Linked DNA regions of Alligator mississippiensis. The main gene of each other region encodes a partner of the protein of the gene in region 4 in a complex. Links are inferred from orthologs where the notes say so. Each region holds a gene or a part of one and is shown on either strand. Other genes may lie near its edges. The genes, in order: SCNM1, SNRPE, SRRM2 and PLRG1.

Region 1 (7,609 bases), on a different chromosome or scaffold from region 4:
CATGCCTGAGGCCAGGCCCCGGCTGTGCTCCCACACGGCCTCCATCGCACCTGGAACAGGAGGAGACAAGGCCTTGTTCAGCAGTATCTCATGGCCACGACTCCTCCTATGGGGACCCCACTGCCAAAAGAACCCAGGAGTCCCAACACCTGGCCTTCTGCCCTACTCTGTGACCCTTGGATCTCACTCCCTTCTCCCAGGTGACATCTTAATGCAAAGCAGGCCAGGGGGAGACAGCAGCCTCCCTGCGCTGTTTCTCTCATGTGTGACCTTTAGCTGGTATAAGTCAGCAGAGCACACCTGAAGACTGGGCCCCTAGAGCAGGCGGTGTAACAGCACCCTTACTAGGAGGTAATGGGATAGCTGGTGGTGCTTCCCAGAAGCAGCTGCCTTGTCCAGGCTGGGAGCAGGTCTCCCCGCAGCCTCCCGCCCATGGCACATATCCCCCAGCCCTACCTGTTCCTCCGGCAGCAGCTGCTGTAGGGAGTGGCTTTCAGCAGGGCGCTCTGGGTGATGGCGCGAGTCTGAGTCAGCAGGGGTGCAGGGCATGGGAGGACCTGCAGAGAACACAGACAGGGTGAGGGTGGGGCTGGGGTCACTGGTGGGGGGGGGGAGGCAGGGCCACGTGTGGGGCTTACCTGTGTGCCCGTCTCCTCTGCCCGCAGGAATTCCTGCTGCTGCCACTTCTGTAACTCATTCTCCCGTGAGTGCTTCCTCCCGTAGAAGGTCTGCAGGCCTAGAGACAGGGGGAGGCAGGGGCCTGGGTGAGCAGAGCCCAGCTCAACCCAGCTGGAGGCTCACGGTGGGGGCACAGACCAGGGCCAGCATGGGGGGGTCTCGAGCTGAAGCAATTGGACAAGGCAGTTCTGACATGCTGGGCTCTCTGGATGGCACATGGCAGTCTGCATGAGGGCTGGCCCTGATGAAATGCCTGTGGGAGCCCTGGGGCTGTGGAGGTGCTAGGAGGGCTCTGCTGTCAGAGGCAGAGAACAGCAGGGCAGGCAGCCAGGAGCGGTTTAATCCAGAGGTGCCAAACATATGGCCTGTGGGTCAGACCCAGGCTGTGGAGCTGGGTCATCTGGCCTGTGGGGCTCCCAGAAGGGCTGGGGATTCAGGGGTGCAGACCACGGCTGTGATATGAGGCTGGAGCAGTGGATAAGCTGCATCAGTGTGGTTCTCAGAGGAGCCCCTGATTTGGCCCATGGGCCAAGAGAGTTTGAAACCCTTGGTCTAATCCAGCCCCTGCCCCCAGCAGGACCTGACCTTACCCCAACCCCGATGGCTACTGCCCGACCTGCCAACGCCCAGGAAATCTGGCCTGGCGTTCTGCTATCTCGACCGGGTCAGCGGAACCAGTGGAGCCTAGCGGGTTTATAAGGGATTTGGTAATGAAATAGGCTGGGGCTGCTGCCCTGGCAGGGCCCTCCTGGCCCGGTGCCCCCAGGCTCAGTGCCCCCAAGCATTGCCTTACTGGCAACGTGCTTCTTGCCGGCGCGATGCACAGTCAGCATGTCCAGTGTGTCGAAGACAGGGCGGTGGAAGCACACGGTGCATGCGTACCTGTGGGGGAGACAGGGTCAGAGTGGGCAGGAGACATGGGTCCATGTGGGGAGACATGCCAGGCTCCTTTCTGGGGCATTCATACCCATAACCACGGCCAGCTCCCCAATGCAGCACAGCCCATGGGACTCGCTCCGTCCCACCCTTGTCTTTACCTGGGAGGAAAAGGCAGGGGCTCAGCGACCGCAGAGGGAAGAGAACTTGGTGTCCTAACCCCTCACTACAGGACTGACGGATCAGGCTCCCTCCCGCACAGTCTCGTTACCCTCAATTAAAAGCTGGGGGAAACTGAGACTGCAGAGAGAAGTGCCTCTCCCGGAGCAAGCCCAGAAGCACTGACTTCGTGGCCTCCTGGGATAAACCAAGACTTCCTGGGACTTTCCGAGAGGGGCCTGGGGTCTAACGAGGCTGAGACCTACCCTAATTGTGCAGCCCGACCCAGACAAGCAGCCGAACAGCAGCACAGGCTGGCGGCCTGGCCCCAGTGGGGCTGTGGCTGGGTTCCTCTGCCGGCCCTGGGGCTGCTCCGGCCCTGACCCACCTGCCAGTCCTCAGCAGCAGCGCCTCGTCCTCCGGGATGTAGTTGGCCAGCAGGTCGGACACTCTCCTTTTCTGCAAGAAACCCCTAATGAGGAGGGGGCCTGACAGGCCTGAATGAAGCTAAGGCCCAATGCGCTGGACCGCTCCTCTCTCGAGCACAGAAGTGACTGGTGTCACGGGAGCGACGGTCTGGGCCCAGGGGATGCTGCAGCACAGGGCAGGGAGGCAGCTGGACACGGGGAGGAGGCAACAACCGTGGACAAGACCCCTGTGACCACCGTGTTCCCGGCCCCGGCTCCCAGACCTGGGCGCAGTCCAGGCAGTCTCTGGAGGGGCAATGACAGCCCAAGGCCCAGGGGGCTCTGTGACGCGGCGGTGGGTCCCCCTCACCTCTGCCATCGGCCTCACGAGCCCCCCATCCCAAGGGAGCAAAGACCCCCGGGAGGGAGGAGCAACGAACTGCCCCCAGCCCCACAGACCCTGGGGGGGCAGGGTGTGCTGGGGGGGGAGGGGCAGGCCTAGGTGGGGGGGCCTGGGGGGGTGAATGAGCAGGGTCTTTGGGGTGGGGCTCGGGGGGGGGTCCCTCAGCAGCATGGAGGGGTGGAAAGGAACTGGTGGTGTCCCATGGCAGGGCTAGGGGAGGGGCTGGGGGGGTCCGTTGGGCGGCGGGGATGGGAGAGGGGAGTGCGGGGGTCTTTGGGCAGGGGTGGGGAGGGGCCGGGGTCACCCCAGGCCCCGCCCACCTGCAGCACACGGAGCTGGCTGACATCGTCGCCCTCGCGCTTGAAAGCCATGTCGCCCCGGCCGCGACTCCGCTCCGCGCTGCTGAACCCGCGCAGCCACCGTAGACCGGGCAGACCGGCCCTCTTCCGCTTCGGCCCCCACTTCCGGGCCGGCGCCTCCCGGCCTGCCTCGCGGCGGGGACTGCAGCTCCCGGCCTGCCTCGCGCTCGCCCGCGCCAACCTGGGACCCGCAGGCGGCGCCCGAGTCACGCCGGGAAATGGAGTCCTAGCGCCCTCACCCCGCCCCTCTGGGGGCGGCCATTTTGTGAGGGGGAGGAGGACTACGTGTCCCAGAGGGCTTTGCGTGTGTGGCTCTGCTCTCCGCTCTTCTGCTCTGCGAGGCTGCGAGCGTTGCGCTCTCTGGGGCAGGGGTGGGGGGCATTAGGTAGCGGGCGTTGAGGCAGGGGTGTGGGCACTAGAAAGGGGACAGGGGTGGGGGCATTAGGTAGGGGACACTAGAAAGGGGGTATTGAGGCAGGGGTGGGGGCACTAGAAAGGGGGCAGAGGGGCATGGGGTAGGGGTGGGGGCACTAGAAAGGGGGCAGGGGGGCATGGGGCAGGGGTGGGGGCACTAGAGGGGCTGGGAGCATTGCTCCCCCTGGCAGGGGCCCTGGCATGAGCTGCCCTGCGCGAGGCAGGTGCAGGCCGGGGCTGTGACCCCCTTTGGCACCTGCCCCCCGGGTCCTGCCCCAGCATGGCCTCCCCACCGGCCAGGCCGGGGTCCCCCGGGGCGGCGGGGCTGCTTCACGGTGGCCGGGCGCGCTCCTACGGCAGCCTGGTCACGTCGGCGGCGTCCCCGGTGCGGGAGCGGCGGCTGGAGCATCGCCTGGCGCCGGGGGACACGCTGCCGGGGCTGGCGCTGCGCTACGGGGTCACGGTGAGGCCCCGGGGAGCCTCCTGGGTTGGGTTCCTGGTGCTGGGAGGGCAGCGGGGCCGAGGGGTTAGTGCCAGGGCCCGGAGCCGGGACTCCTGGGTGTTGTCGCCGGGATGTCTTGGGCCCTGCTGGGGATCAGGTCTCCTTGCGTCTTTGCTGCTCCGTGAACTGCGTCCCTGTGACCTGGAGCAGGGCTCGTCCCTGCTCTGTGCCTCAGTTTCCCTATAGCAAAGGTGCCTCGTCGACCTCGCTCTGCGTGTGGGGGGAGCGCATGTATATGGGGTGGCTCGTTCCTACACACGAATGCAGGAGATGCTCTTCCTGATGCATCCCCTGGTCCTGATTGTGTGGACACACATGTGTTGTCAACCCACACGTGCGCATGTTCCCGCACGCCTACACACTTGTGTTCACACACTCTCCCTCTGTATCTCCTCTCCTTTCCCCTTTGGCACTTTCTGTGCGTGCCGGTCCTCACACGGCTCTCACAAGGGATCACTTTCCCTTCCCATCTGACTCAGCTGGCTTGGGGTGGAGGTCTGGGCAGGCCGTGGGCATGTGACTCTGTTTACTCATGGGATCTGAAATAGCCCTGGGCCAGCCCCAGGCCCTCCAGCTTGGGCAGCTCTGGCAGGGTCCTGCCCCACATGTGCTGCCCCCTGCTGGACTGCTCCTGCCACTGCCCCTGGGTTTCTGGGGTGCTTTGTATCCCAGTCTCTGTGCCAGCCTGGTTTGGGGCTCCAGCAGGGGAGTGGAAACCTCGCCCCCAGCCCGACTGGGACCACTGACAACAGTGCTGCCATCTGCATGCAGCTGGTCATGGTCCAAGTTTCGCGCTCTCAGTGAACTCCCACATCCTTCCCCCTGCCCTCTCCTTCTGCTGGATCCCACAGGGCTGGCTGGGTTCATGGGTGTGCTCAGCCCCAGAAGTGGTTGCATTTTGGCAGCAGGGTGTAGTGGGATGGGGCAGGCGCCTGATGGGAGCTTAACCCTGCATGTGCTTCTTCGCAGATAGAGCAAATCAAGCGCGCCAACCGGCTCTACACCAACGACTCCATCTTCCTCAAGCGGACACTGTACATCCCGGTCCAGGTGCGGGCAAAAGGCTTGATCCTGCAGGAGGGGGAAGGAGCCAGGCAGCCCCCTGAGGGTGAGGAGCAGCCGGAGTCACAGCCCCGGGATGGGGATGGAGCCAGGGCTGGTTCTGGCCTCCGCCACGATTTATCAGCCATGGATTTCCTGCGCCAGCTGGACTCGCAGATCAGCCTGTCCAAGGAGGCCGCAGCCAAGAAGCTGCGGGAAGGGAAGATCGCGTGAGTGCCGCTCTCGCGTTGCTGTCTCAGCTGGGGATCGAACCTACCACCTGCTGGCTAGGCTTTAAGAGACTCTTTCTTTGCCTCCTGCACGGGGTGGGGGTTCCTGGACCGCTCCATGGGGCAGGAGGAATTAAAGCCACCTCAGAGAAGTACCCAGGAGGGCATTTCCCCTGGTGCCTGAGTATACGGGACTCCCACTCCCCTCCAGGGGGCTCTAGTTCTAGGGCTAGCCCAGCCCAAGCCACACAGAGGGTGTGGGGCAGAGATGGGAAGTGTGGGGTGATGATATTTATTGATAACATCAGAAACTAAAAATGAGGGGGCGGGGCCTGCACCCCAGGGGGCTGGGGTTGCACCTTGCTCTTGCCCTCGAGGGGTATCTGTGTGGGGCAGAGCAGAAACACGACATCCCCTCCCTTTTTCTTGTGTGACATGCGGTGAGACGCCCCAGCTGAGACTGCAGCGGTCCCCATTCTGCCCCCCCATTGCCTAGGAGATCCTGTTGTGTTGCTATGGCCGCATGGTTTTCCAGGGAGACTTGCAGTGGGGGGATGTAGCTATCTATGGGGTCTGGGGGCACTAATAGGGGATCGTAGCAGGCAGGGACATTGGGACCCAGGCAGAGGTTTGTAGTGCATCAGAGAGCCTTGCCCTTCCTGATCAAGGCAGCTGGTTGAACCTCAGCCATGCTTTCTGGGGCAGGGAGGTTCTCTCCCAACTGGCAGCATGGGGCAGTGGTTGGAGCTGGCGGGGGTGCAAGAAGAGAGATGTGGGCGTGGGGGGCAGAGAAGAGCCAACAGAAGGCATGGGGAGCTCTGACTGCCTCTCCTCCCCCCCTCCAGCATGTCCGGGGCCGAGGCGGGAGCTGGTAGGACGGTCCCTGGGCGGAACGAGCCCTCGCCCCGCACCCAGCAGCGCTCTCTGCTGGGCCCAGTGCCGCTCACCAAGACGCTGCGGGCTACTGTGCTGCGGGATGAGGAGGATGAGATCTTCAAGCTCTGACTTCCCCGGATCCTTGTGGCTTTGGACTACTGGGCCATGGCACTGGTGGCGCCTGCAGCCTTCGGAGGAGCTGGTTGGAGGGCCAAACCCTCCCCCCCACCTTCATCCTGATGCACGGGTCTTGGTGAGCGTGACACACATGTGAAGGGCTTTCACAATGCTGCTTTGTTCCCACGTGGCCTTTCCTGCCCTGTCTCAGCCCTGTGGGCAGATTCTACCCGCCAGACCCCCTGCCCTATCCCTGCTGGGGCTCCCTATGTTCTCGCCCCACCTGCCCCACTCTCCCCTCACCAGGCAAGAGGGGGCAGTGCCAAGTTCCACACTGCCCTCCAGCCCCCTCACCTGCTGGGTCTCAGCTGAGGAGACCTGATGCCCGGTCCCCTGTCAGCACCCCCTGCTGATGTCCCCCAGCCCTGGTCCCCAGCCTCCCGGCCCCTGGTCTCTACCAGGCACTAGGCCAGTGGGAGCTGGACCAGTGCCCGTTGCCGGCCCACTCTGGCCCTCCACAGCAGGTCTGTTGACACCCATCTCCCTCCCCACTCATGAGCTGCCTGGCATTAGGAGAAAGGGCCAGGGCCTGAACTTGAACTTCTTCATCACTTTCCACCAGTTTGCTGTCAGAGGGTCCCTTACTGGATTCTGCTGACTGGCACCAGGACCAAGGGCAGGGAGACCCCAATCTGACCTGCTAAGGGTCACGGATGAAGGTTTCTTGGTCAGGGGGGTACGTGATCACCACAGCAGGCAGCAGTGTCAGGAGGGGAGTAGGGTGCATAGAACATATCTCTTGGGCTCCTTCAGGGGTGAGACACACCCCCCCCTCCCCCGTCTCCTTCACCTTCACGCTGGGGTTGGGGACCCTCCTCAGTGAACAGGGGCCCAGCCGAGCTCTGGTGCCCGTGCTTGTAACCAGCCCCTCTTGCCATGTACTCATCCCTGGATCTCTAATAAAACCTGGAGGAAATAACTAGGGTTTCCTTCCCTTTTATTTTCATAGCGACCTCCTAGTAGTGCCCTGGGGACCCTTTGGGCCCTGCCTGCACTGGTAGGGTCCTGAACCATGCCCGATCCCAGGCACTGTGTCTCCGGCAGGATCCAGCCCGCTGCTTCCATGCAGCTCCTGGGTTAGTACAGATGGGCTTAGAGAGCGGCAGTGAAGGGCACAGCTCAGCAAGGCCTGAGGGTGCAGATACATCCCTATGTGCTCAGAGGCTGAGCCAGCAGGGGCTGCCGCTCAGCTTGGATGGGCATCTGCAACGCTGGGGAGTTTTTTTGGCTGAGGGACTCCTGATCACTAGGGATCCTGGTTTTCTGTGATTAAAAAAACTCCCCAATTTTCAGTTAAAAATAGTAACCCCAAGTCCACATTTTTCTGTGATTAAAATGAAACTCCATTAATATATAGATATAGATATATATAGTGGTGTTTCATTTTAATCATGGAAAAAGTGTGGATTTTGGATTACTTTTTTATATCTGAAAAATAAGGATTTTTTTTTTTTTTTTATCAGAGAAAATCAGGCTCCCTGCTGATC
Region 2 (7,378 bases), on a different chromosome or scaffold from region 4:
TCCCAATTTATGACAAATTCTAGTTAGAAACACTCTGCAGAAGAGTAATATTGTCCCCTTTTAACATGATCCGACCTGCAAGACAGAGAGAGAAGGTGGTCAGGAGTGGCATGGCCTGAGAACAAGGATACCTGGAAAAGCATTTCACAGAGGAGACTAACAGCAGAAAATTTTGCAGAACAAAGTCCACAAAACAAGTACCTCGTCTTTCTACTGACTGGCAAAACAACAGGCTACGGTTCAGATTGCAAAGGTTTCTGTTACAGCAAACTGAGCTAATATACAGGTGTACTACTACTGCATGCTTCACAGGGCTCCATGCCTGTAAGTCTGTGGTACTCATCTCTCTGCAGTATACGATCTAAAGGTACAATTCACTGTATCGGTGCACATGAACACCATCTGCAGCTAGTACATCAATTTCCTCCTGTATAACGGAGTGTGCTGCAATAAAAGGCACCCCAGCTACCCCTGCACACCCCCGATTCATTGTTTACCTTTGGCACCTGGCAAGCAGTGAATATCAACTACAAGCAAACAGCGAGAGTCATGGTTCCGTGCCCTGACTCTGGAAACGCACACTTGAAAGAGTAAGACAGAGAGCTGGAGGGTCTCAGGACTGAGATAAATGTGGCAGAGATCAGATTGGGTTTCTCTGGCCATCCTAGTAACAAAGAGGAGGCAGAGAAGCACAAGATATTTACCTGCCTCTTTAAGGTTTTAGACTAGTTTCTGGACTTCTTGTGCATATCTAATGGGATACCTATCAGATCTCTGACCCCAGCACTGTTATTCTATAGCAAACAGCAAAAACAAGCATCTTCACAGCAGCCTTTGCTGGACTTCAGCCCAAGCTTCTAATATGTCTGCATTTAAATTGCTGCCCCACACAAGGCTTATCTGGACAGGTTTGGGGCCCATCATTTAAACCATGTAAACGTACCCAGCTGTTTCCTTGACTTTGTTTTGGAGTGAATCTCCTCAGCATCATCCAGCACTAGGTTCATGTATTCATCAAAACCCTAAAAACCAGCAACAAAATCAGTTAGTCGCCTAACTCCCCTGGTGTTAAATCCAACTCCCCTGCCCTTACTGAGGGCAGAACCAACTGCAATCGCCTTCTCTTACAGAAGCACAGACTTATTAAGTGGAAATGGCTGAGGCCGCTGCTTCAGACAGTGCTGAGCACTGCCTTTAGGACTAGTATCTGTCTCTGTTTACATTTGGGAGCTGCAAACAGAACTTGCAAGTTCAGAAAAGCAAGAGACTCAAGAACATCCTGGCACTTACAATGATGCATCCTTCTATTCGCATGTTCACCTGCTCATAAAGCCACACCTGGATCCTGGACCGCTGTAAAATGAGAAGCAAAAAGAGACAGTAGAGTGAGTGTCAGCACATGTATTCCAAGTGATTTTCTGTTACCCGTTGCTGTCCACTCAAAATCTACCTTTGCCCCTGGCCAAACTGGCTTTTAAATAGTATCCATCACTCCATAATAGCAGGCATGTCACACTGTGTTTTACAAAAGGGGCGGGGGAAGGTATCCCCAGCTACCAAACACTTCTAAGCACATAGAGAAATGAGTCTTAAGAAGCACCCATGTGCATCACTGCACCCTTGCCTTCAAGATGGTATCCTTAGGAAATAATAACACTGCTTAACGTAACAGCAAAGCGTTGATTTCAGAACCCAAGTTCATTGTGGGGCAGGAAGTCCACCACCTCTGGAACAGTTCTGCTTAGCTAAAGGCAAGTTTTTTCTCAAGTGATGAAAACTCATGTGTGGGCCCCCACGTGTTTCAGAATATCTGCAATAATCTTGCAGAAGCAAAATCAAATCCTGGGGGGTCATCGCAAGGAAGCTTTTGGTGATGAGGATACACGTTAGTGATGATCAGACGCTGCACAGGCAGATGTGTTGCCATCCCTTCTATCAACACAGCACAAAGAAGCCGACCTAGGCCAGGACCCATTTCCTTCTATCGGGGAGGGGGGGATCAGGGTCCAATCCCCTACAGCTGCAGGCCCACCTGAAGGGAAGCACTGGGGTGGGGGGGATGCCTTGCACTCCACACCCCACCTGCAAAGGCTCCTAACAGAGCAGCCACCTCCAGGGCTGCCGCAAGGACAGTTCACAGCACAGCAGAGATACAAGCTGAAGACCCCGAGTCCAGACACGTGCTGAAAAGGCCCTGGGACAAGCTGCTCCCAGGGACCCCAGTCCCAGCTGGCCCTTGAGCTTTCCACTTTCAGCCTAGTACAAGCAGGCTCTGCCCCTGCCCCATGGCCCCGGGCAGCCCATAGGCTCCTTCTCCAGTGCCTCTCTCCAGGGCCCCGCTCCAGACATGAAGCAGCAACACCGCCCACACTACTACCAGCAGCTCCAGGCCAACTTGCCCCTCCCGGCCCCCCGAAGCCGCGCGCGGGGCCAGAACCGTCACTTACGTTCTGCAGGTAGCGGAAAATCAGGTTCTATTGCAGGCAGTTAAGGAACAGCGCGGAGACAGCGTGGGCCGACCTGAGCTGGGGAAGGCATGGGTAGACACCACCCCCAGCCAGGCAACACCCCCCCCACAGGTTCCCCGCCCATTGCCAAGCAACACCCCCACAAAAACCAGGCAAGCACATCTCCCCAGGAACCCCGCCCTGTTGTCAGGCAACCACATACCCCGGGATTACACCCCGCTCCCGTTGCCAGGCAACCCCCCACATCTCCTCCATTGCCAGGCAACCCCCCCCAGAATTTCCCCCTCTATTGCCGGGCAGCCACATCCCCCAGAATTGCCCCCCCCGTTGCTAGGCAACCCCCCAGGAATCCTCCCCTCCGTTGCCAGGCCACAGCGCCCCCCCCGGAGTGTCGTCCCCCCGCTGCGGCCCCGCGCCCCTGGAGGATACGATGGGCTGCACCATCACCTTCTGCACCTTCTGGCCCTGCCCGCGGTACGCCATGGCTGCGCACGAATCAGCCCCGCTGCACGCGCCCCCTGCCGCCGGAAACCCCGCAGCATGCCGGGAAGCCGGAAGCGACGCGCTTTGGCGGGAAGAGCGGGGAGTTCCGGGCGGACGCTCTAGACCGCGGGAGGACTCCCGCTCTACTGCCCTGCCCTGCCCACCCTTCCATCATTGCAGCGCCTGGTGAATGCTGCCATAAATGCAGCCCAGCCCAGACTGTGCCAAGCAATGCTCGCACCGTGCCAACCGCACAGCTCACACTGGTCCGCACTGGGGGTTGCTTTCCTCTGCCGCAGGTGCACAGCCTCTGCTCTGGTGGATCCCTGCCGCCCTGGCAGCAGCGGGTCATGGGTGGCCGCGGCCCTGCTTTCCTGGGGCAGGGCCGGGGGTGCCTGGGGCTGTGTCGTGTGGCGCGGAGGTCAGACACGGGGTTTGTTTGGGCTGGTTTGGACGGGGCTAATCCTGCGTCTGGCAGGGCTGGGACTGGATGTGACCCTGCCGGTCCCAGCCAGCCCCACGGCTCTGCGATGCTACGATCCGCTACCCCGGACAAGGCCTGGTTCACCTGCCTGCCCTCAGGCCCAGGCACAGATTGAGGAAGAGAAAATTAAAAGCAGCCCATCTGGGACTGCACCCTTTGCTGGGTGATCCCAGGGTAAAGACCATCAGGATCCCCTGGACATACAGCATGTCCTGGCCGTTTCTCTGGTCTCCGATCCAGGGGCTGGGGCACCAGAAGGACGAGGAACAATCGATCGGTCCGGGGGGAATCGTATTTATTGCTCCCCGCTCTGTGGGCTCTGCACACCTACACCCGCTCGCACAAACACCCATGCACACGCCACCCCCGGCGGCACTGAGCAGAGATCGAGGCCGGGGCCACCACGCGCAGGGCTTGCACATCTGGTGGGGGGGCAGGGGGCCAGCAGGACTCACTTCACGAGTGAGGCGGTGTCTGCGCCCAGCCTGGATGCCGTGCTGGGCTCCCTTCATCAGCCCCTTGAAGTGTCCCTGCTTCTTCGCCTTCTCCCTGCGGGAAAAAGATGAGGCGCAGGTCAGGGCAATCTATGGAAGCCCCTTGTTATTCTCACCCAGCAAGGGGTGCTGGGGGGTGATGGGGCAGGAGTTGGCTGTGGGAGCAGTTCCCAGCATAGGGTTGGGGCTGGGGAGGGTCAAGGGAGCTCCCTGATGCTCTGGACCCTGCAATGAGGCAGAGCCAGGTCACAAGAACAGCTCAAGGATCCAGGGAAGCTAGGACCCAACCCAGCTTTTGCCATGGCCCCCGACTCCCCCTCCCACAGCCATGGGCAAGGCCACCCCCCCCCTGGCAAGCATCGGTGCCGTACCTCCTGTTGAGCGTGGCGCTGTGGAGGGCGAAGTAGGCGTAGGGGTCCAGCTGACTGGCCTTCACGTCGTCTCTGCCTTTCTGCAGGACACACAGGACAGTGGAGACAGATGTATGTGGCCTGGGGCAGCTGGCAGCCTGCCTGGCAGGGGACAGTGCCCCCTTCCCCTGAACCCCGGGACCAACACTGCTGCAGTGGTGTGGGCTCGAGGCAGGGGGTGGAGGGGCAGCGGGCCTGGGGGACACAGCCCCATGGCATCTCCCAGGTTTTTAAGCCTCCCCAGAGGTGCTGGGTGCAGGCTGCAGCCAAGCCTGGGGATGGGGACTGGGATGTGCCAGTGCTCCTGCTGGTACCAGCCCTGCAGGGTCCTGGCTACAGGGTCTTGCCCCTCTGCTCAGTCTCAGACCGATGCTGCACTGGGGGTAGGAAGAGATTTCCTGCAGTCAGATTGATCTGAGCTGGGGGTTTTGCCTTCCTCTGCAGCGGGGGCACAGCTTCTGCCTGGGGTCTCTGGAGCACCCAAGAACCCCCCTGGCAGCAGCAGGTCATTGGTGTCCGCAGCCCCCCTGCTTTCACGGGGTCAGGGGCAGGGGTGATGCCTGGGGTTGTGTCTGGGTGACTGTCGTGTGGCTCAGCAGTCGGACATGAGGTTTGTCTGGGCTGGTTTGGACAGGGCTGGTCTTGCCTCTGGTAAGGCTGAGACTGAATGTGACCCTGTGGGTCCTGGCCAGCCCCACGGCTCTGGGACTACAACAGCCCCACACATGTTGCAGCGCCAGGCTGGGCCCCTGAATGTCTGGGCTCTGGGCAACTGCCTCCTGCTGCACCCGGGGCTCCAGGGCAGGGCACAGAGGGCACCACAGCACAGGGGTTGCCTGAGTTGGCGCCCTACCTTGCTGCCCTGGAGGCAGGTGCCATAGGGGCCCCTTACCTTGGGCGTGTAGTCCTCCTTGTGTCCTGGCGGCAGATGGATACTGGAGCCTCCTACTGCAACACAAGACCCAGGGCAGGTTAGGTAGGGCCCAGACACCAGGGGGGTGGGTAGGGAGCATGTCACATCTCAGCAAAGGACAGGGTCCTGCCTGGACAGAGCGGGCTGGGCTCAGCCCTGAGTAGGGTGGCCTGGGGCCCGGGGGCCTCATTATCCCCCAAGCAATACTCAGGATGGGGCAGAGCATGCGAGCCATGTGCCAGGGGCTGCCCCGGTGACTGCGACAGCTGGCAGCCAAGAGCTCACACTGCCCCGGGCACAGAAAGGTATATGTTCTTTGTCACGTGCTTGAAATTGTAAACTGCTGCAATCAATAAATGTTCTCACAGAATGGACTGATCTTGTTCAAGCTTTTGTTAAATCATTGTTACTACCTGGAGTCTAGTGTTAAGTCTGGTAACAAAACGGTGAAGGGTTAACAGGGCCAGTGTCTCCCATGGGGCATGAGACCCCAAAGCTCCCCATTCTCTTCTGCCAGTGGGACCGGAGCCAGGCCCAGGCCCCCCAGCCTCTACCCTCCTCTGGGTCTTGGAGGCGCCTCGTGGCGCTGGTTGCAGGCGACCGCCTGGCACAGAACGCACTGCCTCCACCCGTGGGCCTCAGCCACACGGACGTTCAGCACGCAGCACATTGTAGCACACGGCCGGCAGCAGCACCTGCACCAGCTCGAAGCTCTGGGGAGATGGGGGTCAGCTAGGAAAGCCCACCCCCCGCCAGGGACACCATGCTTGCCACAGCTACGGGTCAGACGCAGCTTCCCCCACCCCCAGAGTGCCCCAAGGGCCCAAGCTGGATTCAGCCATGCTGCACCTCCCTGCCAATCCCCTACTCACCAATGGTTGCGAATGAACTTCAGCTTCGCACGGAAGTGATGCTTCATGATACCCGGCAGGCCCTGCAAAGCCTCCAGCTGCCAGGACAGGGATCGTCACCCTGCCATCCCAACACTCACTACCTCTCCAGGCCCCATACCCTGTCGCCCCCATCACCCCCACACCCCATTGCTCCCTGCCCACCACACAAGGTGCCCCACACCCTCTGCAGATGGAGCTGATCTCCCCCAGTATCACCATTCCCCCACCCTGGACCCTGCATTGGTGCTGCCCCCACCCCACAGCAGGGCAATTCAGCCCTCACCCCCTGCTTGGCAGTGGCTGAGTGGGGTACGTGCAAGCCTAGGATGTGCTGCAAGCCAGGGCAGTCCAGCTTCTGAGTTGGGAAGGGAGCCCTCCCCCTGCCTCCCACTGCAGGAGCCCAGCTCTGTCCCCACAGGCCAGACTTACCACGGCAGGGATATGTGGGGCCAACAACCTGTCATCCAAGAGCAGCAGCGCGGCCCGGAGGAAGCCGAGCACAGCCTTGACCACGCGGCGGGTGCGGAAACCCAGCAGCAGGCAGACGCTGCGCAGCAGGTGCTCCATCTCATCCGGGCCCAGGTGCTCTGTGGGGCAGGCAGTGCCGCTGAGGTCTGCGCCCACCCAGGGGACCCTACCCCCCTGTGCAGGCCAGGCCCACACCCAGCTGGGGCTGGTGAGCAGGATGGAGCCCTTCTTGCTGGCAGAGGGGGTCTGGCTCTGGTAGGTGCCAAGACAGGCTCTGCCAAGCAAGAGCTCCCCTAGATGGGCCCACAGTGCCCCCACATCCGCCCCTCTGCTCCCCCAATGGCACCAGGGGGCTGCAAAGAGCCCCTCCACCACCTTCAAGGGGCTCGGCCCCAGGACCTCCCACTTCCCAGGTCTGCCCCAGCCATAGGATCCCGTGCCCACAGCCAGCTGCCCTGCAGCGTCCAGGCCCCCAGCCCCCATGCCCTGGCAGCCCAGCCTCACCTTTGAAGTTGAAGAGGAGGCGGGTGAGCACCAGCACGGTGCAGCTGATCATGCTGACAGAGCCCCTGAGCCCCGGGGAAACAAGGTACAGGAACCTCTGCATGGCCTCTGTGTGGGGCAACAGTCAGGTCAGCGAGGGCCATGCCCCCCCGCACTGGCTCCTGCCCCAGCAGGTGCCAGTTGCACCCAAGGGCTACAGCCCAGGCTGTTGCAAGTGACCCACATCTGAGGGAGAGGGTACTGGGAAAGTTCAGCACTGGG
Region 3 (6,878 bases), on a different chromosome or scaffold from region 4:
CCTGCCACCACCCCAAGAGGCTCTCACCGGTGTTTCTTCTTCTTGGAGCTTTTCTTCCTCTCTCGGCGTGAGGGTGACCGGCTCTCTGACCTAGCAGCAACAGGGGGAGGGCATGATGAAAACCCAAGGATCCAGACCCCTACTCTCCCACCCCAGAGAACCCGGGTGTCCAGGTACCCACCTCCCTCTGTCTTTCTTCTTTTTCTTCTTCTTTTGCTTGGGGGACGGAGACCGGGAGCTGCTGGACTCTCGCACCAGGCTGGGGCGGGGGGGGGGGGAGAGAGAGAGAGTCAAACATGCAACCCAGGCATCTGGGACACGCACCCAGAGAACCCAGGCATCTGGGTCACACAAAGGCACAACCCCCAACCCCGTCCCAACAAAGAACCCAGGTGTCCGGTGCAAATGCAAACACATACAATCTAAGTTTCCAGGCCCCCCCACCAAAACCCCCCATCCCAAAGAGAACCCAGGTGTGCAGCACATCCCCAGGTACCTGTGGGGCGGGACGGGGTCAGGCGGACGGGGAGCAGGGCGTGCCCGGCGCTGGGGGTCAAAGGAGCTGCCGTCCACGTAGGAGTCGCTGATGCCGAAGGCGGCGCGGAGTCGCTCGTTCTTACGCTCCGTTGCCTCGGCTAGCTGGTGGGTCTCCGTCACCCTGCAGGAGGGGGGGCGGGGGTGTTGGATCCAGGTACCCAGCACCCATTACTGTCGTCCCCCAGCCCAGAGGACCCAGGTGTCCAGGCTCCCAGATTCCCCCAACCTGCTTTAAACCCCTCCAGTGCCATGGGATGATTGGAAGCAAGGAGCACTGCTCGCCAGGGGGGCTGTGGGTCAGGAGTCGGGGCGAGGGGCACCACTGGAGGGGGCTGCAGGTCAGGAGTGAGGGGCACTGCTGTGGAGGGGTGAAGGGGGTTGCTGTTGGTTGGGAGGGAGGGGCACCACTGGGGGGAGCTGCAGGTCAGGAGTGAGGGGCATTGCTGGTGGTGGGGGTGGTGCTGTGGATAAGGAGTGAGGGGCACTGCCATGGGGGGTGAGAGATCAGGGGTCACTCACGTGGGGCGCCCCTCAGGGGTGTCGATGTCCTTGCCCCCAATGTCCTTCTCCAGCAACATGAGGCGGAAGGTGGCCACCTTCTCCTGGATCTCCCCCTCCGTGTACCTGGGGACGGGGCTTCAGTGGGGAACGGGGCCTTGCCAACCCCCCCATGACTCCACCCCCAAGCCTAAGCCCCACCTCCAAACCTACTTCATTGCCTCTGTATATGTTCCTGTGACTCCCACCTGCCCTGTGCCCTGGCTCTGCCCCTTGACCTGCAAACTCGACCCCTAACAGCCTCAACAGCCCCAGACACCCCTACAAGCATCTCTGCTACCCCGTACCCTGGCTCCGCCCCCACCCCGGCTCCACGCCAACCCTGCCCCAGAAGTCTCAGGAACTTACTATGGCTTGCCCACTTACGCAGTGCCCCTGGCTCTGCCCCCAAGCCCCGCCCCTAGCCCTGTTCCAAATGCCCCAGAAAGGTCCCTATGCGCTTCCTAGCTGACCAAGGCCCTGGCTCCACCCCTACTCCCAGGCTCCACCCCCAACCCCACTTCAGCAGCCTGAGACCTCCACATAACTTTCCTAGCTACCCCATGCCTTGACTCTGCCCCCCCCCATCCTGCCACAAAGGCCTCAGCAACCTCTCTATAAACCTGCCACCTATCTCCCACCCCTGGCCCTACCCCCACACATACTCCAAAATCCTCAGTAACCCCCCACCCCGTGCCTCTGGCTCTGCCCCCAAGCCCTGCACCCACACAGACCCCAAACACCTCCCTACAGCCTTCCCAGCTACCCCATACCTCTGGCTCCATGCCCAAGCCCCACCCCCATGACACCCCCCCCCCGAACCTTCCCAGCTGCCCACCTTTGGCTCTGCCCACAGCCCCCACACCTCCCCCTAGGCCTCCCCCCCAATCTTCCCAGCTACCCCATGCCCAAAGCCCTACCCCCATAATTACCCCAAAGACCTCCCCACAACCTTCCCAACTGCCCCTACCCAAGCCCTGCCCGGCAGCAGCCTCACCCCTGCTCCTCCATGAGCTCAGCCAGCTCGAGGCACTTCAGCTCCACCTTGCGCTTGCGCTCATGGTCCAGGATGTCCTGGTTGGGCCGCTTCAGCAAGGCGGGCTCGGCCCGGGCGCCCTCGTCCTCAGCCCGCTCCCGCCGGTGCCGCACGGCCGACAGGTTGCGCTGGACGTAGCCGTTGGTGCCGCTGCCCCGGGGCGTGGGCAGCCCTATGCCATTGTACATGGCGCCGCCGGGGGGAGGGGGGCGGCCAGACCTGCGGGGGGGCGGGGGGTAAGAACCCAGGCACGTCCAGGAGCCCCACCCCCTTCCCAGAGCACCTGCCCGCCTACCCCCCCAGCCCCCTCCAATGCCCCATGCCTCAAACCTCCTCCCCAGGGTGGGGCTGGCCTCAGCCCCTCCCCCCATTATGTCTCCCCCTTGCCTCCCAGGACTCCCCCTCTCTCAGCTCACGCCCCTGCCCCCCACAGCCCCTCCCCCACAGAACACCCCCCCCGTGACCCTTCTCCCCCAAAACACCCCCCGGGCCCCCCCCTAAAAGATTCCCCCACGACCCCGCCCCCAAACACCCGCCCCGTTCCCTCCCCCCTAAAAGATTCCCCCTCGGCCCCTCCCCCAGCCCAAAACACCCCTCACGACCCCGCCCCCACCCCAAAACACCTCCACGGCCCCTCCCCCAGCCCAAAACACCGCCCCCACTACCCCTTTCCCACGGCCCCGCGCCCCCCACGACCTCTCTCCCCTACAACACCCCTCCACGCCCCCTCCCTCCTCCCCCCCACGCAGGAGCCCCCCCTCATTCCCAGACGCCCCCTCCCCCCTCACCGGGCCCGGGCCGGACCAGGCCGCTCCGCTCCGCGACGCTGGGCCTAGAGGCTGGAGCCTGGGGCCGGCGCGGGGCAGGCCGGGAAGATGGCGGACCGCGGGCGGCGCGGGGCGGGGCCGGAAAAGCCCCGCGCGGGGCAGGCCGGGCAACGGAGTCCAAAATGGCGCCGGTCGGGGAGGCCACGGTGCGCATGCGCTTCGGCCTCCTCCTGCCTGGAGCGCACGCGCCTCAGAGGCTGGCGGGGGGCGATTAGCGCTGCGCACATGCGCACCGGGCCTGGCTCCCCGCGTCCCCTCACTGGGGAGTCGGCCCCCGTCCTGTGCGCATGAGTGGGAGGGACTAAGCGGTCGCCATCTTGGCGGGGGAAGGGACGCTGGGAAATGTAGTCCGACCCGTGTGCGCCTGCGCAGGCGGCCGCGGCCTGCGCACGTGTCGAGCTGCGTGTGCACGTGTGCGTGCACGGACACGTAGGGGTAGGGACCGGGGGGAGCGGGTAGCGTGTGCACGCGCGAGTATGGCCTAGCTACGACAGCAAAGTACGTCATAGCACGTGTATGCATCTCACGCCCATGACATGTCTAACACACACCTGCATGCCATACCTGTGTTGTAATAACATACAATAGTATGTATACCATTGGTGACTTGTACACATGTTAAACTTTCATGTAAAATTTATGACGTAATAACCCGCCATAGCATATGCTGTATGTGCCACATGCATGTAGTACCCATGAGCCAGAACAGAAAATAGTATGTGCATCCTATAGTATACACGCATACATGTAATGCCTGATGTAATAACACACGATAGCACATGCCATATATGACACACATTTAATACCTGTGATGTAATAATACACAATGGCACGTGATCTAGATATGCCACACATGTATGCAATACCTATGACATAACACAGAATAGCCCGTGTGCTGTACAACACGTGCATTCATATACATATGTATATATACTGTACAACGTGCATACATATAACACCCATGACACGTAATAACACACAATAGCACAGGTACCCTATAGGACACGCACATGCATGTGATACCTATGACATAACACACAGTAGCATGTACTGTATATGACAGCCCTGTAACACCCATGACATGTAAGAACACAATAGTATGCACTGTATATGACACACATGCATGCAATACCTATGACATATCATGGAACAGCACATGTGCTGTATGACATGCATACATGTACTACCCATGACACACACAATAGTGTGTGCTGGATATGACATGCAATACCCATGCCATGTAATGAAACACAATAGTGTGACATACATGACATGCATGCATGCAATACCCATGACGCAATAACACACAATAGCATGTGCCATATATGACACGTGTAATACCCATGTCACGTCACAACACACAATAGCACGAGTGTTACCTGTCATACCGAGCATCCAGAGAACATGGAACGGAGACTTGGAAGTGGGTATCTGACCCCACGCGAGTGAAGAGCCTGTGACACATAAAACAGCTCACATGTAACTCATGCACATGCTGTATATATACCATTTAATAATGATATACATTAGCACAGCCACAACACAGCTGACAATTAAGAGCAGGTAATTAATGCCTCGTTATTAACCTGTCACTCTCTGTGCTACGTATACTCCAAATATGTCTGTTAGCAACTGTATTTTTGGACTTAGGACAGGACAATCCCGTGTGCTGGGACACAGGGGCAAGAAGCTGGATAGAAGCCAATAGGGTATCCTGGTTGCTAACGAGCAGGGCTAATTATTGCCAGGAGGTGGAGGTCAGAGATTCTCCCCCTCTATTCAGCACTGGGGAGGCCACATCTGGAGTGCTGGGTCCAGCTGTGGGCCCCACTGCAGAAAGCACTAGGGAGAGTCCAGCAAAAATCATTGGGGAGCTGGGGGACATGATGTGTGAGGAGATGCTGAGGGAAATGGGTGCATTGAGGCTGCAGAAGAGAAGACCGAGGGGGGGGGTGGAACTGAATAGCGGCCTGCAGGGTGGTTGCAAAGGGGATGGAGCTGGACTGTTCTCAGTAGGCGCTTGTACACGTGACCTGTAGTGCCAGATGACAGGACAAGGAGCAATGGGCTCAGGCTGCAGCAAAGCAAGTTGAGGTTGGATATTAGGAAAAACTCTCTGACAAGGAAGGTGGGAAAGTGCTGGAATGGGCTGCCAAGAGGGATTATGGGATCTCCGTCCTTGGCGGTGTTGAAGACCTTCAAGGGTGGATGAAGCCTTGGCTGGGATGATGGAGTTGGGGCTGGTCCCGCTTGGAGCAGGGGTTGCACTAGATGTGACCTCCTGAGCTCCCTTCCAGCCCACACGGTCTCTGATTCTATGAGTACAGGCACATGTGACTTTCTACAGGCACGTGTGCAAACACATGTACAGACACCCATGGGTGCCTATGGCATACACATGAGAACTCATAAACACAAATATACATGTGTGCAGGTGCACACAGAAATATGAGTACATGTATACATATGAGTATAGGTGCGCATGGGGTCATAGTATAGTGCTTAGGGTCGGGAGGGACCTAAACGGATCATCAGGTCTGACCCCCTGCCCCGGGCAGGAACGGGTGCCAGGGTCATATCACCCCATCCAAATATCTGTCCAGCCTCCTCTGGAAGACCCCCGAGGCAGGGGAGAGCACCGCCTCCCTTGGGAGCCCAGTCCAGAGCCTGGCAGCCCTCACCGTAAAGTCATGTCTCCTGATGTCCAGCCTGAACCTGCTCTCTAACTTGTGCCCGTTAGTCCTAGTAACCCCGGGAGGAGCTGGGGGAACAGAGCCTCCCCCAATTCCCGCTGGTGAGTTTGTAGATGGCCACCAGATCCCCTCTCAGCCTTCTCTTGCGGAGGCTGAAGAGGTTCAGGTCCCGTCGCCTCTCCTTGTAGGGCCTGCCCTGCTGTCCCCTGACCGTGCGGGTGGCCTCCTCTGGACCCTCTCAAGGTTAGCCACATCCCTCCCAAAGTGCGGCGCCTCGCAGTACTCCAACTGCGGCCTGACCAGCGTCGCATAGAGTGGGAGGATCACCTCCCTGGACCTGCTTGAGCTGCATCTGTAGGTGCGGTTAGCTTCCTCGCATTGCTGGCTCATGTTCATCCTAGAGTCAACAATGACTCCAAGATCCCCTTCTGTCACCACGTTGACAAGAAGGGTGTTCCCCAGCCTATAGGGTTATATGGGTACATGTGCAAACACGTGTACAGGCACACATGGATACCTATTGGTATGTGTGCGCACTTAAGTACACATGTACATGTGTGCAGGGGCACATGGAAACATGAGTACGTGTGTACATATGCGTATAGGTGCAAATGGGGTCCTATGGATATGTGTGCAAACATGTTTACAGACACATGGGTACCTCAGGGTATGTGTGTACATGTGGGAACACATAAATACAGATATACATGTGTGCAGGTGCACGTTGAAACACAAGTATGCATGTACATGAGTACAGGCACACATGGGTACCTATGGGTATGTGTGTACACATAGGAACATGTGAGTACAGATATGCATGTGTGCAAATGCACACAGAAACGTGAGTATGTGCGTACATACGAGAACAGGGGGTTCCTATAGGTACATGTGTGAACATGTGTGCAGACACACATGGATACCTATGGGTGCGTGTGTATGCGAGTACAGATATATGTGTGCAGGTCACCTGGGGTCACGGGTTTCATAGATTTCATAGACATTCGGGTGGGGAGGGAGCCCGGAGGATCATGGAGTCCCGCCCCCGCCCCGGGGCCAGGAACTCCGCTGGGGTCACGGGATCCCGGCGAGATAAGCATGCACATTTCTCTTGAAGGCGTTCAGAGCCGGTGCTTGCACCACCCCCGATGGCAGGCTGCCCCAGACCGCGGGGCTTGGACAGGGAAGAAATTCTTCCTTACGTCCAGCCTGAAACGCTCTTGCAGGAGTTTGTAACCGGGTTAATGAGGT
Region 4 (7,827 bases):
GCATTCTAAAAAGACAAGCTTGTTACACACAGGATAATAAAAATAGATAGTTTTCCTTCTAAATCTCTCTCTCAATTAGAATGATCAGAGAATTATCTTGTAAAATTATCATAGCAATTCTAAGATTAAATTTCATATCATAAGACAATATTCAAAATATACAAGCAAAGGCAAACTAACCTTGATTTGCAGAATATTGTTTATGTCCATAAGGATCCACCACACCCTGGGAACCCTTCTCTCTCAAATTTTCCTTCAGCGTAGGCATGTGCAACACAGAACCATACTCTGTGTGAAGCTTAACTGACATCTTTACCTTGTGACTAGTTGAGAGAACAAAATTTATTAATACTTGATCTTCTGAACAACCGCAAATTTTAAAATGCTTTGGAAATCATTTAGAATCATGTCAGTTCTACTGCTTTCCTTTCACCACCTCTAGATAGTAGTTCTGCTTGAACATACACAATCTGACTTGGATAAAAGAAAGCAATTACTTGTATACACTAACATTTTAAGACACAGCAACAGGCTAGTGACAGCTATACTTACCTTTCTTCATCCAACGATACAGGTTTTGCATTATCAGCCACAAACATATCATGGGTCCTCTTCAAGGATCTGAACACAAGAGTGTGCACAGAATGTTTCTGTACATCCTACAAGAAGCCATAACAAAAATTTAAAGAAGAATCAAAAACAGCAATATAAATTAAATAAGGTAGTAATTTTTCTCCTTAGTAATTAAAAAAACAAACCAAAACAGACACTACTGAATTTGTAGAAGAGTACACTGCCATCCTTAGGAGCTGGGAGCTACAGATTTGGCCTGATAAATTGTTTCATTGCCCCCTCACTTAAAATAACACTCCTTCCTTGGGATAGTCTCATGATAAAGAAGAGCAGGCCAAAACTTTGACCAACTGTGTTTCCAATTCCAACCACTGAGGTAAATACAAACTGAAGATAAAAGCTTGTCCTTCACACTTACTGGTTCTTTGTTTATACATAGACAATAAAACAAATGGTTCAGGCGCATCAGTGGTGCAGGCCTACTCATTTGATTGCAACCACAGAGCAAACAAATGGCAAAGAAAGATCATTTAAGAACTACCACACAGATGATGGCACATGTGTGCATGCCTCTTAGCAAGAAACAGCATGTTCTTGTGGATTCCAAAACCTGCAGGCCTTGGTTTATCGATGTAATTGCTTTGCTTTTTCTTGAAGTACAAAAGCACCATTCAAGAACTAACAAAATTAACAATACCAAAGTAAAATTAGGGTTGGAAAGGACCTCAGTAGGTCATCCAGTCCAACTAGGAGTGCACTGATAAAGATTTTCTGGGCCAATACCAATGGCCGATTATTAACCAGACATATCAGCCAATACCAATTCAGTAGCCAATTTAAAGGAATGCCGCTGGGCAGGGCGGGCAGCAGCAGCACTGGGAGGAGCGACTACAGGGAATTTTTGGGGTGGCTGTAGCCCACCCCTCCCAGGACTGCTGTCCATCTCACCCCCTCCCATCCTGAGTGCAGCCCAGGCCCCCTACCAGGAAGAGGACAGCCCCTGACCCTGCAGCAGGCAGCCTGCCCTAGCCCCACGCACAAATCCGAAGGTGTGTGTAGTAGTCCCTGAAAGAGCTGCCCACATTTACCGCCCTGGCTGGGCAGTGTCCCCTGCCCTTGCTCCACTCTTTCCCTCACTGTGGGGACCTCAATCTGGCCCCCACCACACTACATCCCTTTACCCTTCCTCCTATGCCTTCTTCCCCAAAGACTTAGTAGCCAGATGCTGCTCTCCAAGCTGCCAGGCTGCACTCCTGGCCACGTGCATGCTGTGTCTGTGTGCATGCATATGGCATTTATCGGTAACATTATCAGCTACACTGGCCAAAAAAAGGCCAATTGCTGATAATGTTAATTTTCCTTGTATTAGTGCTGATCTGATATGTGATCAGCATATCAGTACACCTCTATATCTAACCCCCTGCTCAAAGCAGGACCATTCCCAATGAGATCATCCCACTCAAGGCTTTGTCTAGCCAGATTTTTTAAAACCCCAAAGGATGGAGCTTCCACCAGCTCTCTGGATAACCTGTCGCAGTGCTTTACTACCCTCCTAGTGAGAAAGTTTTTCCAAATATCTAAGCTTCTTAATATCTTCCCTTGCCACAGCTGAAGACCACATCTGATACCCAAAGTTACATTTCTCCCAGGCTACTAGAGGGATCTTGGGGGACACTGACCAGATACTGAGTTTACCTCCCACCAGGGAGGGAAACACCCCTTGCCCAACACCATCTTAGGGGTCCTCCTCTGCTCAGCAAAGTTCTTTGAGTAGATGTGACATTTTTTATTGGACCAACTGAGATAAATATATACAATAAAAGTTTATATAATATAACAAGAGATATCACATGCATTCAAAAAGCCTTTGCCTGCCTCAAAGCAACACAGATGCAACCAAAAACCCAACTCCTATGCTAGCGCATTTGCCAAACACACTATATGGGAAGTGCTGGTAGCTGTAAACGACCGCAGATCAGTCCCTTGTCTTGGTGACAGGTGCAATGCCAACATGACGTGCAACAAGGCCACCTGGCCCAGTCCCCTGAGTGCAGTGACCTTGCAACCTATCTTCCTTGTGCTTTACTGGCCGGGAAGGTAGGCATTTACAATTCATTTATAGCGCGGACATAAGCGTCCGAACTCTTCAGAGTCAATGCATCCTCCCCGCCCCCCAGGCCCGTGGCCGGGCAGAGGCTGCAGGAGGCCGGGGCTCAGGCTCCAGCTCCAGCCCTGTGCATGGCCCCTCAAGCCCCCCCCACGCCGGGACACCGGCCCGAGCCCCAGCCCGCCCCGAGGACTGACGGGGAATGCGCGCGGGACCAGGCGCTCACCTCCACCATGGCGCCTCCTCGACAGCAGCCGCCGAACCGCTATTAAAGCACTTCCGGCCCCTGTCGGAAGTGACGATACCACGACCCGCTCGCGAGAGCCGGCGACATTAGGCCGCGCTGGAAAGGGAGGGAGGAGGAGAGTGGGGGGGGAGAGGCGGAGCGCAACATCGCCCAATAGGGGGAAGGGGCGGGGCGTGAGGGGAGGGGGTGGGGCGTGAGGGGAGGGGGTGGGTCGCGCCCTGGCTGACGGCTGGCCTTGACTCTGGGCGGCCCAGTGGACCGAGGGTTCGAGCCCCGGCTGCCCGAGGGCCACCCTCGGCCGCTGCAGCCCTATAGCCAATTTTGTGAGAAGTATGAGGCTTGAGATCTGTATAGAGGAGTTTCATAGATTACCTTCAAACTTCTTGAAACTGAACTAATGTCTCCTGTGGCAGGGGTGGGGTAGGAATCTGTAGCGTATACAATTTTGGCAGTGACACATTACTGTATTAAAACATCAGGTTCATAGTGAACAGTATAGATAAAGTTGCAACTTGGTAGCAGGGTATTATTGTATTGTAACAATAGCCTGGTAATCAGTCTTATAAAATTTAAATATAGCTTCCATTAAAACTCACTTCTCATCACATTTTTAAATATCTCTTTTTGTCATTAAATTATCTATTCTATCCATACTAGATGTTGCAAATGTATATGAATTAGCTTTGTTCTAACAAAGTTACAGGCATATGTAATTTGAATCCAAATCATAAGTGGCAGGCCATCTTAAATTGAAAGAAAATCTGAAATCACATTTATGACATTTGATAGGTTTCAAGATAGGTTGAGAGGCTGCTTTAATTAAATATGAGATCAGAGCTGACCCACCTTTCATTTTTCAGTGTAATAGGCAGAATATCTCTGGATTTTCCCCCACTTTCTTTTACTCCAAAATAGCTTACTCAAATTTGCTAAAACTTTAATCTCTCCCCCCACACACACCCCCACACCCACATACACTTTGAAATTAAATTCTGAAAATTTCACCCAAAAGAGAAATCTTGAATAAAGTTGAAATCAACTGAAAAAAAGACTGGGGGGGGAGGGGGAGGGGGACAGCCAGCGGCACATGTGCCCTAAGTGGCATAGGCAGCCTCTGTCTGTGGCAGACAGCAAATCAGGGAGGCAGCAGGGAGCTGCAGATAGAGCAGAAAGCAGAGCAGCAACTCAGGCAGAGGAAGAACAACTGAAGGGGGAACTAGGAATGGATGTGGGTCTAATTTGTGATATGCCTGCCAAAAAAGGTTGACACTTACTGGTTTAGAATTTGTATATTTTGGCAACTTCATCTACAGCTGCTGACTTCTATATTTTTGTTTTAGCCAAACAAAAATGCCTTATTTCTACCATCCAATGTTGCCGATTTCTTGATGGTGAATATATTTAACTATATAACAGCTGTATAGAGCTGGTGAACGTAAGTATATATACTAATTACAATTACACATCTTGAACAGATGAGTGCAGTAGTTAGCTTTCAAAAAGATGCCCAGTATTTAACTCAGCCTTTATAACACTGGTTAGAGCCTGCTGAGCAAGTCTTTACTGCCAAAGTGAGCAAATATCTTTATAGGATTGCTCTGTGAGTTTGGACTTGATGTCTTGTGATTTAATCCAACTTCTTCTTTGTGCTGTGTAATGGAGGAGTATTTTGGAAGAGTCTAAATTTTTAATTGGAGCTCTGCTGTATTAAGATTTAAGTGTGAAATTAGCCGAAGTGAAGTGTAAAAAGAGAAATAATTCTAAAACTGTAAAATGTAACTTTAAAAGGAAAACTGTACTGTTATGTCAAATTAGGATAACTACATCAACTAACAAAGAGTAAATGCCTAAAGAAGCAAGGACCTATTTTTCAAAGAGCACATTTTCACTTACCTTTTAACATACAGTTACCAAGAGAATATATTTGTAGTTACAAGCATCTCTTTATGTATCAGCATTATTTATACATATACATCCACATTGCTTGCATTTGGTCTTTAATAAAGGCAGAGAGAGGGAATTGTTATCCTTTGTGTGTCTACATGGTAGTTTTCCGTTAAATAAATAGCCTTTTTGTCACTTATACACTTTACAATTCTGTTACCGATATAGTGTGGTAGATATGTAACTGTTGCACATACCCATTGGCCAATGCATAGGTATAAGTATAGGTTTCTAGGAAGTGGTTAGGTGGTAACTGTAACTAAGTGGTTAGGACATTTCCCAAGGAAGCATAGAGGGGGTGCTTCCCCCTTCTAGGCCACAGGATTTGAATCTTCTTTTTGACCACTGTAATGGGGTGTACCCCTCACGGGTGGTCATGGCTCCCTGGTGGCCCTCTGGCACCTATCTGCCTACCCTGGCATCCTAATCTGGCTCCTCTCTCCCTCCTGCCATGCCTTGATGCTATAAATTGATATGTTATTTAGAAGACTGCCTTTGGGTAACCAAAGTCTAGTCATGGGTACCTTACTTCCCCCTCCTCCTTCGCAACTACAGGTCTGACCAGGCAGCACAGAGGTCCACCCCTCTCTCCCTCACTCTCATTGTCAGCCACTATCATTGGCTGGGACCCTGCCCTGTTGGGCTCCAGCCTGCCTGTCTTTAGTCACTGCCCCTGGCCTGTCTGGGCCTCAACCCCACCCAGGTCTCCGGTCCACTAGTCCTCAACCCCCTCCATGGCCCCTTCCAGTCCACTGGGTGGTATTAGCAGTATGAGCAGAAATAACAAAAAGAAAAGTAGACCCCAATCAAGTTAACATAAAAGGTCTTTGGGCTGTACCCTCTCTCCCAGGCCTCTCCTGGCCAATGTAAATGGTCACCATTCCTCTAGGTTTGTTCATTCCCCAGGGCTCCTCCTGGGTTAACATAAACAGCTCTCAGTCTTCTGGGTGCCCACTTCCCCAGGATCCTTCCTGAGTTAACACCAAGAATCCCCCAGGGCTTTGCATGCACTCATTCATTCAGTCTTTCTTCCCTGATAGGGGCTCCTCCTTTCAGGCATCAGGTGCTCTTGCCAGGCTGGCATTCGTTCCTGGCTCTCTGGAACACTCCATCCTTCTCAGCCACAGGGATGGAACTGGACTGGACTGGACTAGACTGGACTGGACTGGGTCGGTCCTCCCCTCCCTCCCCCCCACCTTCCACTCTGGCGGGGAGTTTATATCCTAGTCATCTCTGCCACCTTTGTCAGCTGGCCAGGCTTCCTGTTCATCTGGCCCAGTGTGACTGCGACGGGCCGCCATCACGGGTACAGGCAGAGGATAGGCAGGACAGGGGGGCAACAACACCACCTCAAGAAAGCCACGGGCCGGGCTACTCACCCCCGGGAGGGATGGCAGCGTCAGAGCTGGGACCGCAGCAGCAGACGCGGCCGCCATTACGGCCGCGCGAGCCGGCACTACGCCGGCTTTTTAAACAGCTGTTCTCAACAAGGGGAGCAGCTGAGCCAATCGCGGCAGCCGCAGCGGCTGCCGCGGGAAGTTTGAAAGCCCCGACAAACCCCGTGGAAAGGGGGAAGCCAGAGGAGGAGAGAGGAGGCGTGCAGCACGTCACTGCCGCTGCGGCTTCCCCAAAGCCAGAGCCTCAGGCAGGCAACTGGGCATCAGTCCAGCAGCTGGGGCGAGAGCCAGAAGCCCCGGTCGGGGCAAGAGGAGTGACTCCCAGGGTTTGCTGGGAGCAGAGCAGCAACTCGGGAAGTTCTCCCATTCCCGAGGAGCAGTATTTTTGAGAGCAGGGGAGAGAAGAAAGGAAAGGACCCGAGCTAGCGGCCGGGTCAGGCGGAGGCGGAGCCAGGCTGCCTGAGGACGACCGTTGGCCTCGGGGAGGCCTGCCAGAAAGAAGTGCTGCAAGTAGCAGCGGATGACCATCTCATCAACAAGTGACCAGTTGGCGAGTGGACGGGGTGTAGGGGTGGCGGAGCCCCATGGAACATCTGAGGACCCAACCGTGAGTACCCCCCTTTACGTCAGGCAAGCCCCTCTGGCAGAAGATCTCCACTGAACCCCTCCTTCGAATCACTTAACATCCAAGTCATGGCAGGCGGGACGAGGGGGAGGGGCTACCATACCAAGGGCGGTACCGGACGTGAGGCCCACGGACGTCATACCCAGGTATAGCTAACCTCCCCTTCCCACTCAGTGCAGTGTTTTTCAGCCAGATGTTTGCAAGCTAGGCTCTGCAGAAGTGAGTCCATAGCCCAGTGTCAGTCATCTTGCTTCAGGAGGTTTCTGCTCTCACCTTCAACAAACAGCTTGCTCTCTCTTGCTCAGCTGGGTCTCTCTCCTGGTAGCTGGGACCTCTATTCTTCTGGCTACTCTGGAAGGGCTTTTCCTGCTGCAAGCTATCCCCCTCTCCTCCTTGGGCTACAAAAGTTCTGGCTTTAAATGGGCCTTGCTGATTTTTCCACCCTTGCCCTCTTTCCCCCAAAGCAGAGTTCCCTGTTACACCACCACACTACAGATTAGGCCACTGACTCACAACCAGAGTGTCACAGCATCTTGGGGTACCATGAGATCCTTTTAAGGGTGCCCTGCTATATAAGCACTGTTGCATGTGCCAACACCTAAATGATTCACAGGATAAATCTAGAGATTCCAAAAAGTAATCCATGGTGTCAAAAGCATTCTGATCTGTTGTGGCTGTTCTGAATTCTTTGCAACAGAAGAATTGCCGTATTATTTTTCTGTTATAAAAAGCAAGTCACAGGTGCCCTCTCCAGCACTCCTTTTGAAGCTGGGCAGCCAAAAGGGCTAAGAAAAAGAGGTTGAAACGGAGGGAGAGTGGCTCAATAAGAGGTGTGCTGCTTTGGAAGGCAGGAGGGCTAGTTTCTAACTTGGTCCTTTTCTTTCAAAAGGTGCAAGATCTTCTCCATTTATTTTATCCATGAATATTAAACACA

What was found.
Region 1: PLRG1 (region 4) and SCNM1 share a complex: the UniProt entries of both Homo sapiens proteins name them as parts of the minor spliceosome. The link is inferred for Alligator mississippiensis from reciprocal best matches to the Homo sapiens genes PLRG1 and SCNM1.
Region 2: PLRG1 (region 4) and SNRPE share a complex: the UniProt entries of both Homo sapiens proteins name them as parts of the minor spliceosome. The link is inferred for Alligator mississippiensis from reciprocal best matches to the Homo sapiens genes PLRG1 and SNRPE.
Region 3: PLRG1 (region 4) and SRRM2 share a complex: the UniProt entries of both Homo sapiens proteins name them as parts of the minor spliceosome. The link is inferred for Alligator mississippiensis from reciprocal best matches to the Homo sapiens genes PLRG1 and SRRM2.

Annotation. Positions count from the first base shown.
Region 1 is NC_081838.1:20,117,991-20,125,599, forward strand, and holds the start of SCNM1 (sodium channel modifier 1), read right to left. Parts: upstream 3,018-7,609; 5' UTR 2,895-3,017; coding exon 2,844-2,894; intron 2,173-2,843; coding exon 2,102-2,172; intron 1,561-2,101; coding exon 1,472-1,560; intron 737-1,471; coding exon 639-736; intron 558-638; coding exon 457-557; intron 51-456; coding exon 1-50. Other genes in the region: LYSMD1 (lysM and putative peptidoglycan-binding domain-containing protein 1), read left to right, coding at 3,577-3,759, 4,768-5,069, 5,915-6,074. UniProt on the Homo sapiens protein: As a component of the minor spliceosome, involved in the splicing of U12-type introns in pre-mRNAs. Plays a role in the regulation of primary cilia length and Hedgehog signaling.
Region 2 is NC_081837.1:39,629,927-39,637,304, reverse strand, and holds the start of SNRPE (small nuclear ribonucleoprotein E), read right to left. Parts: upstream 3,007-7,378; 5' UTR 2,952-3,006; coding exon 2,898-2,951; intron 2,475-2,897; coding exon 2,448-2,474; intron 1,354-2,447; coding exon 1,291-1,353; intron 1,023-1,290; coding exon 944-1,022; intron 76-943; coding exon 20-75; 3' UTR 1-19. Other genes in the region: RRP12-like protein, read right to left, coding at 3,892-3,984, 4,301-4,380, 5,232-5,287, 6,125-6,201, 6,575-6,732, 7,118-7,225. UniProt on the Homo sapiens protein: Plays a role in pre-mRNA splicing as a core component of the spliceosomal U1, U2, U4 and U5 small nuclear ribonucleoproteins (snRNPs), the building blocks of the spliceosome.
Region 3 is NC_081830.1:700,630-707,507, forward strand, and holds the start of SRRM2 (serine/arginine repetitive matrix protein 2), read right to left. Parts: upstream 3,002-6,878; 5' UTR 2,899-3,001; intron 2,330-2,898; 5' UTR 2,299-2,329; coding exon 2,072-2,298; intron 1,162-2,071; coding exon 1,057-1,161; intron 659-1,056; coding exon 497-658; intron 260-496; coding exon 182-259; intron 91-181; coding exon 28-90; intron 1-27. UniProt on the Homo sapiens protein: Required for pre-mRNA splicing as component of the spliceosome. As a component of the minor spliceosome, involved in the splicing of U12-type introns in pre-mRNAs.
Region 4 is NC_081825.1:94,680,915-94,688,741, reverse strand, and holds the start of PLRG1 (pleiotropic regulator 1), read right to left. Parts: upstream 3,011-7,827; 5' UTR 2,916-3,010; coding exon 2,907-2,915; intron 660-2,906; coding exon 553-659; intron 324-552; coding exon 181-323; intron 1-180. UniProt on the Homo sapiens protein: Involved in pre-mRNA splicing as component of the spliceosome. Component of the PRP19-CDC5L complex that forms an integral part of the spliceosome and is required for activating pre-mRNA splicing.